Saccharomyces cerevisiae S288C: one gene and its partners. The main gene of each other region encodes a partner of the protein of the gene in region 3 in a complex. Each region holds a gene or a part of one and is shown on either strand. Other genes may lie near its edges.

The links.
Region 1: SPP381 (region 3) and SMD1 share a complex: the UniProt entries of both Saccharomyces cerevisiae proteins name them as parts of the U4/U6-U5 tri-snRNP complex.
Region 2: SPP381 (region 3) and SNU23 share a complex: the UniProt entries of both Saccharomyces cerevisiae proteins name them as parts of the U4/U6-U5 tri-snRNP complex.

The regions. Positions count from the first base shown.
Region 1 is NC_001139.9:633,482-636,652, reverse strand, and holds SMD1 (mRNA splicing protein SMD1), read right to left. Parts: upstream 942-3,171; coding exon 501-941; downstream 1-500. Other genes in the region: U4/U6-U5 snRNP complex subunit PRP38, read left to right, coding at 1-506; UPF3 (Upf3p), read right to left, coding at 1,186-2,349; ENV11 (Env11p), read left to right, coding at 2,590-3,171. UniProt on the Saccharomyces cerevisiae protein: lays a role in pre-mRNA splicing as a core component of the spliceosomal U1, U2, U4 and U5 small nuclear ribonucleoproteins (snRNPs), the building blocks of the spliceosome. Also binds telomerase RNA and is required for its accumulation.
Region 2 is NC_001136.10:284,081-287,221, reverse strand, and holds SNU23 (U4/U6-U5 snRNP complex subunit SNU23), read left to right. Parts: upstream 1-2,056; coding exon 2,057-2,641; downstream 2,642-3,141. Other genes in the region: dolichyl-phosphate-mannose-protein mannosyltransferase PMT1, read right to left, coding at 1-163; proteasome regulatory particle lid subunit RPN6, read left to right, coding at 527-1,831; BUG1 (Bug1p), read right to left, coding at 2,778-3,141. UniProt on the Saccharomyces cerevisiae protein: Participates in pre-mRNA splicing. Part of the U4/U5/U6 tri-snRNP complex, one of the building blocks of the spliceosome.
Region 3 is NC_001134.8:543,899-548,181, reverse strand, and holds SPP381 (U4/U6-U5 snRNP complex subunit SPP381), read right to left. Parts: upstream 1,807-4,283; coding exon 931-1,806; downstream 1-930. Other genes in the region: RIB7 (2,5-diamino-6-(ribosylamino)-4(3H)-pyrimidinone 5'-phosphate reductase), read right to left, coding at 1-722; APD1 (Apd1p), read right to left, coding at 2,204-3,154; TBS1 (Tbs1p), read left to right, coding at 3,689-4,283. UniProt on the Saccharomyces cerevisiae protein: Component of the spliceosome and rRNA processing machinery. In association with the spliceosomal U4/U6.U5 tri-snRNP particle, required for splicing of pre-mRNA.

The sequences.
Region 1 (3,171 bases), on a different chromosome or scaffold from region 3:
TACACATGATGGTTCTCGGTGGCATTGAGTTTAAATGCATCTTAATGAAGTTAATCGAAATCAGACCGAATTTCCAGCAGTTGAACTTCTTATTGAATGTAAAAAATGAGAACGGTTTTGACTCGAAATATATTATTGCTTTGCTTCTGGTTTATGCGCGGTTACAGTATTATTATTTGAATGGCAATAACAAAAACGATGATGATGAAAATGATTTGATAAAGTTATTTAAAGTACAATTATACAAATATTCACAGCATTATTTCAAACTAAAAAGTTTCCCACTACAAGTAGACTGCTTTGCTCACTCCTATAACGAAGAACTTTGTATAATACACATTGATGAATTAGTCGATTGGTTGGCCACACAGGACCATATCTGGGGTATTCCATTAGGGAAATGTCAATGGAATAAAATATACAACTCTGATGAAGAGAGTAGTTCTAGCGAAAGCGAAAGTAATGGTGACAGTGAAGATGACAACGACACCAGCAGCGAATCATAGACCTCTTCTTGGCCTTTTATTCGCTGGTGCACCAAAATCGCGCCTTCTCTTTTTGCTGGGGTCATTTGCAATTTGACCCGATCTTCTTAGGGAATTAAGTTGCTTTTGGTCAACCAAAAGTGAATCCAGGTTCAAGGAATCAGGTAAGATTATCTGTCTTATGGTATTGCCTCTAATGTTTATGTATTGCAAACTTGCTATGTTGTCACTTGCAGTAGGTTGCTGTCCTCCAGTCAAGTACAGACTAGCCATCGCAATACCATTACTGTTCAATTTATTTAGTCGGGGTTGTGGTAGGGTCAACTTCACGTCAGTTAAGATAGCATTCATTTGTGGTGATACCGACTGCAGTGTACCCCAAACGGTGGTACCGTTTTTTAGTTCTATGGTAACCTGCTCATTGCGCAGCTTTTTTAAAAAGTTAACCAACTTCATAATCTTTTTCTCGACGATTTATAAACGATACTTGGAGTCATCTTTCTTCATGACAATTTCATTGTATATGAACATTTCATATATTTTATTATTTTAAATATTCATTGAAAAATCATTAAATACGAAACTCAGAATTTATAATGGGGAATACTTTATGTAATAATATAATCATAAAATATATAATTCTTATTATTTTATTATAAATGTATTCCATATATAATATATAAGAAGCCATGAGCTTTTACTACTTCTTGGTATCATCACGATGCAAAATTTTTACCCGTGGTACGAAAAGGTTTTCTTTAGGTTGGAACGACGGCTGGGTTTGAGCGGATGATGACTGAGGCTGAGAGGAGTTTGATATTTTTAACTTCTCTTGCAAAAGCATTTTCTTCTTCCTTTGTTTCAAAACCTCTTTACCCGCTTCCTCAATAATAACCACATTACTGTTCTTGGTCTTAGAAATGGTGCTTTTTTCACGATTTTCACGCTTCTTCTTGCCTCTGTTCCGTTTTTTCTTTGGTATCTTAGCGGATGCTTCCTCTTCTTTGAATTTCTTTTTGGCGTTTTTATTTTTCTTCTTTTTGTTCTTATTCTTGACCTTATCACCAGTTCCAACCAGCTCTGTTAACACCCTTTCTGTTCTTTCTGCTATTTTATTTTCTAACTCTATGCTTTTTGAGAATTCTTTTTCTAAAGATTTCAATACGCTAAAATCTTGGAATGAGTACTCGTCATTTTCATTCAGCTGTTTCATTGAATTCATAAATGTTTTAAAAATTTCGTCTTCTTCAATTGTTCCTACTAGCGCGGCATCCTTTTTTGATGTTTGAGTGAATTTCTTTACGTAGGGCGACAGTTTCATATCTGGAATTGTAATATTATCCTTATTATCAATGAATTTACAAGTTTTAATGAAATTTGCGCATTTTTCCAAGTCTGATAAGTTGTCGAACAAGAAATTGCACCGAGAATATGTCGAGTTTTTGAATACTTTACTAGAATAATGACCTTCAAAAAAACACCAGTCACTGTACTTGAGTTTACCCTGGATATCTTGCTTATCACCATCATCGTTATTATTATCTCGTAAGATGGCAAAAAATTCATCTGCAGTCAAATTTGGAGGTAGCAATCTAATAACAAGCTTAAATCCTTCATTCTCGGTTGATTTACCCAATCTAGCCTTTCTTTTATAGTTATAATACTCTCTGTTCCTTTTCTTGTTATTCCTTCTGCCTTTGCTATTGTTGTGGGTAGCATTAGTAGCATTATTAACCTTATTCTCATTCTTTTTAGGATCTACCGTCTCATTCTTACTTTTTCCTCTGTTCTTGTTATGATACCTATTTCCCCTGCCTTTCTTTTTCCCCTCACTATTCTTCAATTCCCCAGCCACATTGCTCATGATAGATTACTATATATTTCAGCAGAAATGTAAGTCCCTCAGTAGGTTTTCCTTTCCTCTTTGCTGATATATTCATGCAATAATCATCGACAATATTTTCTTTTGTATCTTACTTTTTAGGCGAAAAATTTTCAACTTTTGATCAGCAAACAATACACAAAATAAATAAAGGGATGATAAACCATAGAATAACAAAAGTCTTCCGAAATAGCATATGTACCAATCTACTCAATCATTAATATGAACACTGCATTGGATGATTTACATGGGGATTTGGTGACTTTAGAAGATAACGAAATCATCAATAATTCTGATCATTCATCTTCTCACTCTACTAGTCATGAGGAGGAAGACGAGGAAGAAGACGATACTGAGGATATAGAACTTATAGAAAAAGACGGCAATAAAATCCTATCAAGTAGAATTCATCCGGAAGACGAAATCATAAATGATGGGTTAAATATATGGATTCCGGTTCAAATGCTCAAGAAGAATATAGCAAAGTTCTGGTCCCATTTTCTAGCAATTGAAAAGAAATTAACGAAAGTTAAATGTAAACATTGTGGAGAGATACTAACAAGAAGCGATGCAAGTTTGACAAAAACCTTTAGATCTCACTTGAAAACAAAGCATAATATAAGTGCCAATAAAAACTTCTATTCCATGAATTTCACAGTAGGAGACTCCAATCTCAAAAACAATACTTCCAGCACAGAAATTACACGTAGACACGGCTATGATTCGTTAACCTTCAATTCCGACCAAAGTTTCAAATGCTTTGACATAGGAAAATTACAGAGCAGTAATTACCTTTCTATTTCC
Region 2 (3,141 bases), on a different chromosome or scaffold from region 3:
AGGCCACTAACAGCTTCTCTTTAAGAGTGACCATGGTTCGTAACGAGGCCAATTCGGCACTCGGATCGGTAACAATAAAGGGTCTTACGGGGCCCTGCTTGATATCCAGTTCGGGCACGGGATCATCCTGCTCTACACGTTTGTACGTTTTCTCTTCCGACATGACCGTGCTTGTAGCTGTTAGCTGTTTCTTGATAGGCTCTTCTGATACTACCTCGCTTTAACAATGCACCTGTTTGTCTTGTTTTGCTGCTCGAAAATAATCAAGATCTGCTTAGAAACGCCAAACTCTTCTTCGACACGTGTCGAGAAAAAAAACGCAGCGAAAAAAAAAAAAAAGGTATATCATCACAATATACGATATAAATGGGCAGGGCAACCCCGAATGATGTATATTCTCTTCTGGTTCCAAGGGTGGCAAATGTTGGTAGAAAGCGTAATTGAAGCAAAGATCCGTTAAATAAGGCCAACTAACAGAAGCGCTGAAAGAGGACAATTGGTGATTAATCTATAAACGAGGAACTTCATGTCTCTGCCAGGTTCGAAATTAGAAGAGGCCAGGAGACTGGTTAATGAAAAACAGTATAATGAGGCAGAACAAGTCTATTTGAGCCTGCTGGATAAAGACAGCTCACAGAGCAGCGCCGCTGCCGGTGCCAGTGTGGATGACAAGCGTAGAAATGAACAGGAGACAAGCATATTGGAATTAGGACAGTTATACGTGACTATGGGTGCAAAGGACAAATTGCGCGAGTTTATTCCTCATTCTACGGAGTATATGATGCAATTTGCCAAATCCAAAACGGTAAAGGTATTGAAAACGTTGATTGAAAAATTCGAGCAAGTGCCGGACTCCTTGGACGATCAGATCTTTGTGTGCGAGAAAAGCATCGAATTTGCCAAGAGAGAAAAAAGGGTGTTTTTGAAGCATTCACTCTCGATCAAATTGGCCACCTTACATTATCAAAAGAAACAGTACAAGGACTCATTAGCATTGATTAACGATCTTTTGAGGGAGTTCAAAAAGCTGGACGACAAGCCCTCTTTGGTTGATGTACATCTATTGGAAAGTAAAGTTTACCATAAACTGAGGAATCTAGCCAAGTCCAAGGCCTCGTTGACTGCAGCAAGGACGGCCGCTAACTCCATATACTGTCCTACACAAACAGTTGCGGAGCTGGACTTGATGAGTGGTATCCTGCACTGTGAAGATAAAGACTACAAAACTGCATTTTCGTATTTCTTCGAAAGTTTTGAAAGCTACCACAATTTGACTACGCATAATTCCTACGAAAAGGCATGTCAAGTGTTGAAATACATGCTATTGTCTAAGATCATGCTGAACCTTATTGATGACGTAAAAAACATCCTAAACGCAAAATACACAAAGGAAACGTACCAGTCCCGAGGCATTGATGCCATGAAAGCTGTCGCTGAGGCTTATAACAACAGATCGCTTTTAGACTTCAACACGGCGCTAAAGCAATACGAGAAGGAACTAATGGGCGATGAACTAACAAGATCCCATTTCAATGCATTATACGACACGTTATTAGAGTCCAATTTGTGTAAGATTATTGAGCCATTTGAATGTGTGGAAATATCCCACATTTCCAAAATAATCGGTCTGGATACTCAACAAGTTGAAGGAAAGCTCTCCCAAATGATACTAGATAAGATATTCTACGGTGTTCTGGATCAAGGTAATGGTTGGCTTTACGTTTACGAAACTCCGAATCAGGATGCCACGTACGACTCTGCATTGGAATTAGTCGGGCAACTAAATAAAGTCGTCGATCAACTATTTGAAAAGGCAAGTGTCTTGTATTAGGTTTACATGTATATATATGTATGTATACTCACAAGTACCAGAGTAAGAATTCCTAAATAAACTTATAAAATGCAGAAAATACATAAGTATGATTTTTCTTTTTTTTCTCCTAAGAAAGGAAGAAGTTTAATCGAATGCGCCGCTAAATAGAAAACAGTTGATGCGAAAGTTCATCAAAACCAGAAGTTCCTACAAGCCTTAGCTGACAAAAATTCGAGAAAGCTAATGTCGAATTTTGGCAGAAGAACTTGGGATAGAGAGGAGTATGCTGAGCAGGCTAGAAGCGGCTATGACGATCGATCCTTAAAGGCTACGCTAACACCGATTGAATTACAAGCTTTAAAATCCAAATATACAAATTACGATCATTTAATCAAGGGCTCGCTAAAAGACCTAAATAAAAGGAAACTAACAGCAAATACAGAGAGCTTATCGTCTTTCAAGAGGGGAAAGAAGTTCGGATTTTACTGCGATATTTGTAACCTAACCTTCAAAGACACTTTACAATACATTGATCATCTCAACCACAAGGTCCATGCAATAAAATTTGAAAATTTGTTTGATGAACCGTTAATTATAGATATAAGAGATAATGATGACGTACCGCAAGAGGAGTTTGAGTTGTGCTATCATAACTTGATAAAGGATTTTGTAGAGGTGCGTTCTATGGAGACTCAGTCCAAGAGGAAAAGGCTTTTGGACACAGATGTGGAGAAAGCAAAGAAAGTGGCTACTAAGCCTTCTATTGAGAGTGAATCAAAAGTCAGTCAAATGATGGGATTTTCCAATTTTGCCACCTCTAAAAAATGAGAAACCAAGTAAAGATAAATGAGCATAATACAAGCATAGAGCACATATAAAAAGTCGGGACTCAGATCAGATCATTAGATATATCTTTTATGTATATAAACCCTTAATTAAAATATATACGCGAAAATATTCATTCTCAAAATTCCATTATTGGGCCAGAACCAATACTTCTCCAAGTGGTCATGTCTACGTTCCACTGGCGCCATTTGTTCAGCATAACGCGATCCACTTCCATATTATTCCCGTGGGCCACCTGCGTACCAGAATTGGTTACAGATTGTGAGGGAGTTAGATTATTGCTTGAAGTGTTGAAATCCGCAAATTGAATAGGAGTTGCTGTGGTATTTCTTGCTGCCTTAGCTTCTGCTAATTTTAATTTTTCTACTGCGGCAATTAATTCATCCCTTGCGGTTTGCAAATCGTTTTGTAAACCATTAATGATGTCTTCTTTTTCCTGCAATTGATCCTGTAGGTCATCGACAGTAGTTTCATTTTCCATA
Region 3 (4,283 bases):
AGTCTCGCACAAAGCACCACATCGGTAATGCCCTTCCACCATGACATATCCTTTAAATTTACTGTTTGGGGTGGGCTAACTTCGGTGCCTGAGCTACCCAGAAATGTTGATCCAATAGTTATTATAAGACTGTTGACAATATCGCTCCTCAGCAACAACTGATTTATTACATTGGCACCTCCTTCAACCATTACTGACCTTATATTGAATTCTTCTTTTAATATCTCAAACAATTTCTTCCAATCGACCAATTTCGTAGTATCATTTATTGGACAAATTGCGTAGTCTACATGTTGTTCTTTTATAATGGGCTCACTTGTGACAACAACGATTGGCGGCTTACCCTGTCGTTTAATAAAAAGTTCTTGCATTTTTGAACCATCAAATCGCCACTTTTGCTTTGTATCTATTATTATTGGCCTTGGGGAATTTGCAGCCGGATCGGGACCCCATTTACAATTCAATCCAGGATTATCAGCTAGCACTGTTCCACTTCCTACGAGTATTCCATCGTGATGATGTCTCAAATAATGCGTCATTGTTTTGGTCTCGGGATGTGAAATTGTAGTCCTCACTCCAGGGCCCCTAGATACTCTCGCGTCGAGCGATTGAGCATAAGTTAGTGTGACAAAGGGCACAATGGTATTTTCCGTTTGACCAGCATTCGGTAGATAGTTTTGCAGAAATTGTGGTAAATCTTCACACAGTGGTGTCAAAGACATATCTTCTAAAAATGTTGATAGTAATACAAAGAAGCTACCAATAGGTTGGTACTGTATTTCTGCTAGATTGTTTCATCGTATCCAAAGCCAGATGTAATGGTTCTGCGAAAAAATTTGATATCTTCATCTTTGCCTCTTTTTTCTGTTTCGGGATTTTCCCGACATCAACTAACTGAAAGGCATGTGGGTTTGTGTGTGTGATGCGGTGTTATATAACCGAATATTCAGTTTCTTCGTAATCTCTACTATTCTTGCCTAGGTCACCAAATTCAACATTTTTAGTTCTTGTAATCTTGTAACGGTTGTTATTGTGAGATTTTTCTACTTTTTCAGCCGATCTTTGTTTTTTGTGATCAAGTTTCTCTTTCTCCTTGTCCAAGATAACGTCGTATTTGGTATTCCCATCTTTGCCTTTTTGCATCGCTTCAAATCGTTTTGCCTCATATTCTTCTGATTCTCTTTGTTTCGCAAGTTGTATTCTTCTATGCTTTTGCTTTCGTTCGTTCTGCCTTTCAAACCATTTCTGTCTCTCCTTTTCTGAATCGACTTCATCGTTATCATCTAAGAGCAAGCACTGCTTGATCAATTCTTCGTTGGTGCTGTAATTGGTGTTAAGTCTCAGCTTCATCGTTTCGTAGTTCTTTGCCACTTGATTAGCTTTGTCGATGTTTTTTATCATATTTTCCTTCTTTGTTTGCAGAACTCGTGCGTCATCTTGGGCATTCCAGGGTTGATCTATCTTGGTAGCTTTCTGCAAATTATTGGCCTTTTTCTTCATAAATAATGGCCTCGGTAAAGGTCTCATATCGTCACTATCGCTCGAATCACTGTTGTCGCTACTTTCTTCACTTTCGGGACTCTCATCACTTTCGGGACTCCCATCACTTTCATTTGATTCTTGGCCATCATTGGGGGTGCGGTTCTTTCCTGTACCATTTAAAATTTCGCCGCCCAAATCACTATGGCTTAATGAGGCTGATTTTTCTGTTAGAGATACGTTTTGGTCTGGATGCTCTTCATCCGCCGAAGAGCTTTCATCTGCTGAGCTTGTGTCAAGTCTCCTCTTGAAATGTCTAAAACTCATCGTATGTGATTCAAATCAGTAACCAAAAAAAATTCTTAATCTAGCGGTGGCGGTAGAAATCTGCATTTGTTCTTTCTTTACTGGGAACAACGAAGAATTGCTTTTCTCAATATATGGCGAAATATTGCATGTTTGCAAAAATTATAAAATGAAATAATGAGCAGCAAGTGGAAAACAGAAAAAAAATCAGATGAAAATATGAAATGGATTAAGAAAATGGCCAAAGAATCTTTCATGTATGGAAAGTTGAAATACAGGATCCCTTTTGCAAATAAAACTTTTCATTATCATCTTAGCGTTATAAATATATATGCGTGCTTTAGAACTATGTACATTTAAAAGCTACTCTGATGGCAAATTTTATGGCGTCAAAAGATTGTATTTTGCTGGCCAACCTTTACCAGCTTTGATATTTCTTAATACAGCGAACTTTTTCGGGAAACGGCAACGTTGGTTCTTCAGGAACAATCAGATGTTCGACAATAGAAGGAACTATGGTTGGAGTTACTCTTCCCAACCAAATTAAGGTATTTGGATTTCGTAAATAAATTTGAACATTTGCAGCAAATTTGTGACCACCAACATGATTAACAAATGCAATTTTGACACCCTCTGCCCTGTAATCCGAATTGTCCCTATACAGCCCATGTTCCTGTAATTTACTGTCAAAAACTTTCTTTAAATAGGGTGCCGTAATCCCGCATCGTTTATCCCTCGTAGTATGTGAACATATAAATACAAATGCACGTTCACGTGCAACGGCAACATTTGGTCGTGTTTCTAGCAATTTCTCTCTTGAAATATTCTCGTCTAATAAGTCAGGAACTAAACCATCCAGCGTTGCTTCGACGTCATCTGATCTAAGGTCGTTCAGCCAAATGAAGTAAGGCAAAATAAGTACATTATTCTTGGTTCCCCGCATAACATCAATATCCATGATATCTTTAGGTAAAGATGAAACTGCACAGTTTAGTGTCTTGCCTGTGCCCACGTTGGAAAATTTAGCTGAATTCTTATCACACCACTGGGAAATTTTATACTGTACTGACTTTGGGTCCTCGAGGCAGGCATCATGCTGCCAATCGATTTGAGAGGTGGGGACAACGAAGTGAATTTTTGGCGTTTTAGAAGAGTTCAACAAAGGAGTTTCATGTTCGATCTTTAGTTTCGCAAAGGCCTGCTCTCCTTCTTCAATTTCTGTTTTGCAATCACCAGAGCAGCTATGTTCGTTAGCAGCATCGTCACTTTTGCATATCTTAATCGATTGAGAAATTTCCTCCCGTCCCTTTGCGCTCAGTTGTGAAGCTTCATCACCACGTTTTTGCTTGAAAATATTCAAAAAAGCCATAATTCAAAGGACAAAGAAGATATCTCTCTCTTGGCCGCCTTCTTGCCTCCTCCGAATATAGCCAAGTACTTTCTTTTCTTATACCTCGAACAGAAAGAAAACCAGTATGTTATACTACTATTCGGTTAGAATTTCAACTTTGCGTTATCATCATATGATCTCAACAATATAAATAGAAGATATCATCAGCGCCAAGAGTGGAACTCTCCCTCTCCTTGCACTTGTTTTAAGAAACTTTTAGCCCTTATTTCCATCTTTATTTCCGCTTTTATTTCCGCAGCACCGGTGAACCCTCTTTTTTATACCTTCAGAATTTTCTTTGCACCTAAAAAGTTCAAATTGCCCTTTAAAAAATATTTATAATACCCTAAAGGGTCCACATTTTCATTTTGACCCTACTCCGCCAGAAAATGTTGATTTATCATGCCTATTTTCAGCCACTGCCCAAAGTCTACTTAAAATAGAGTAAACTTTATATTACGACTACTCTTTTTTAAGTTAACAATGATTACAAGCCCAGCAGGAGTTGTGTGAATGAATATGGATTCTGGTATTACAAGTAGTCATGGAAGCATGGATAAGACACAAAAGCAAAGTTCTGAGTGGGCAGCTAACCAGAAACATAATCAAAGAGTCGAAAATACAAGAGTTTTAATGGGCCCCGCTGTCCCTGCGATGCCTCCAGTACCATCAAATTTTCCGCCTGTTCCAACTGGTACAATAATGTCGCCTCAGTTGAGCCCTTTTCCGGATCACCGTTTAAGACATCACCCATTAGCTCATATGATGCCTGCTGATAAGAATTTTCTGGCATATAACATGGAGTCTTTCAAAAGTAGAGTGACTAAAGCATGTGATTATTGTCGGAAGAGGAAGATTAGATGTACGGAAATCGAGCCGATTTCTGGTAAATGTAGAAACTGTATCAAGTATAATAAAGATTGCACGTTTCATTTCCATGAAGAACTGAAAAGAAGGCGAGAAGAAGCTTTGAATAACAAGGGAAATGGGAAGTCGGTTAAGAAGCCGAGGTTGGATAAGGAGAATAAGTTCAAGGATGAAAATTTTGATATCGCCGTGCGATCAAGAAATACTTCTTCTACAGACAGCTCGCCGAAATTACACACCA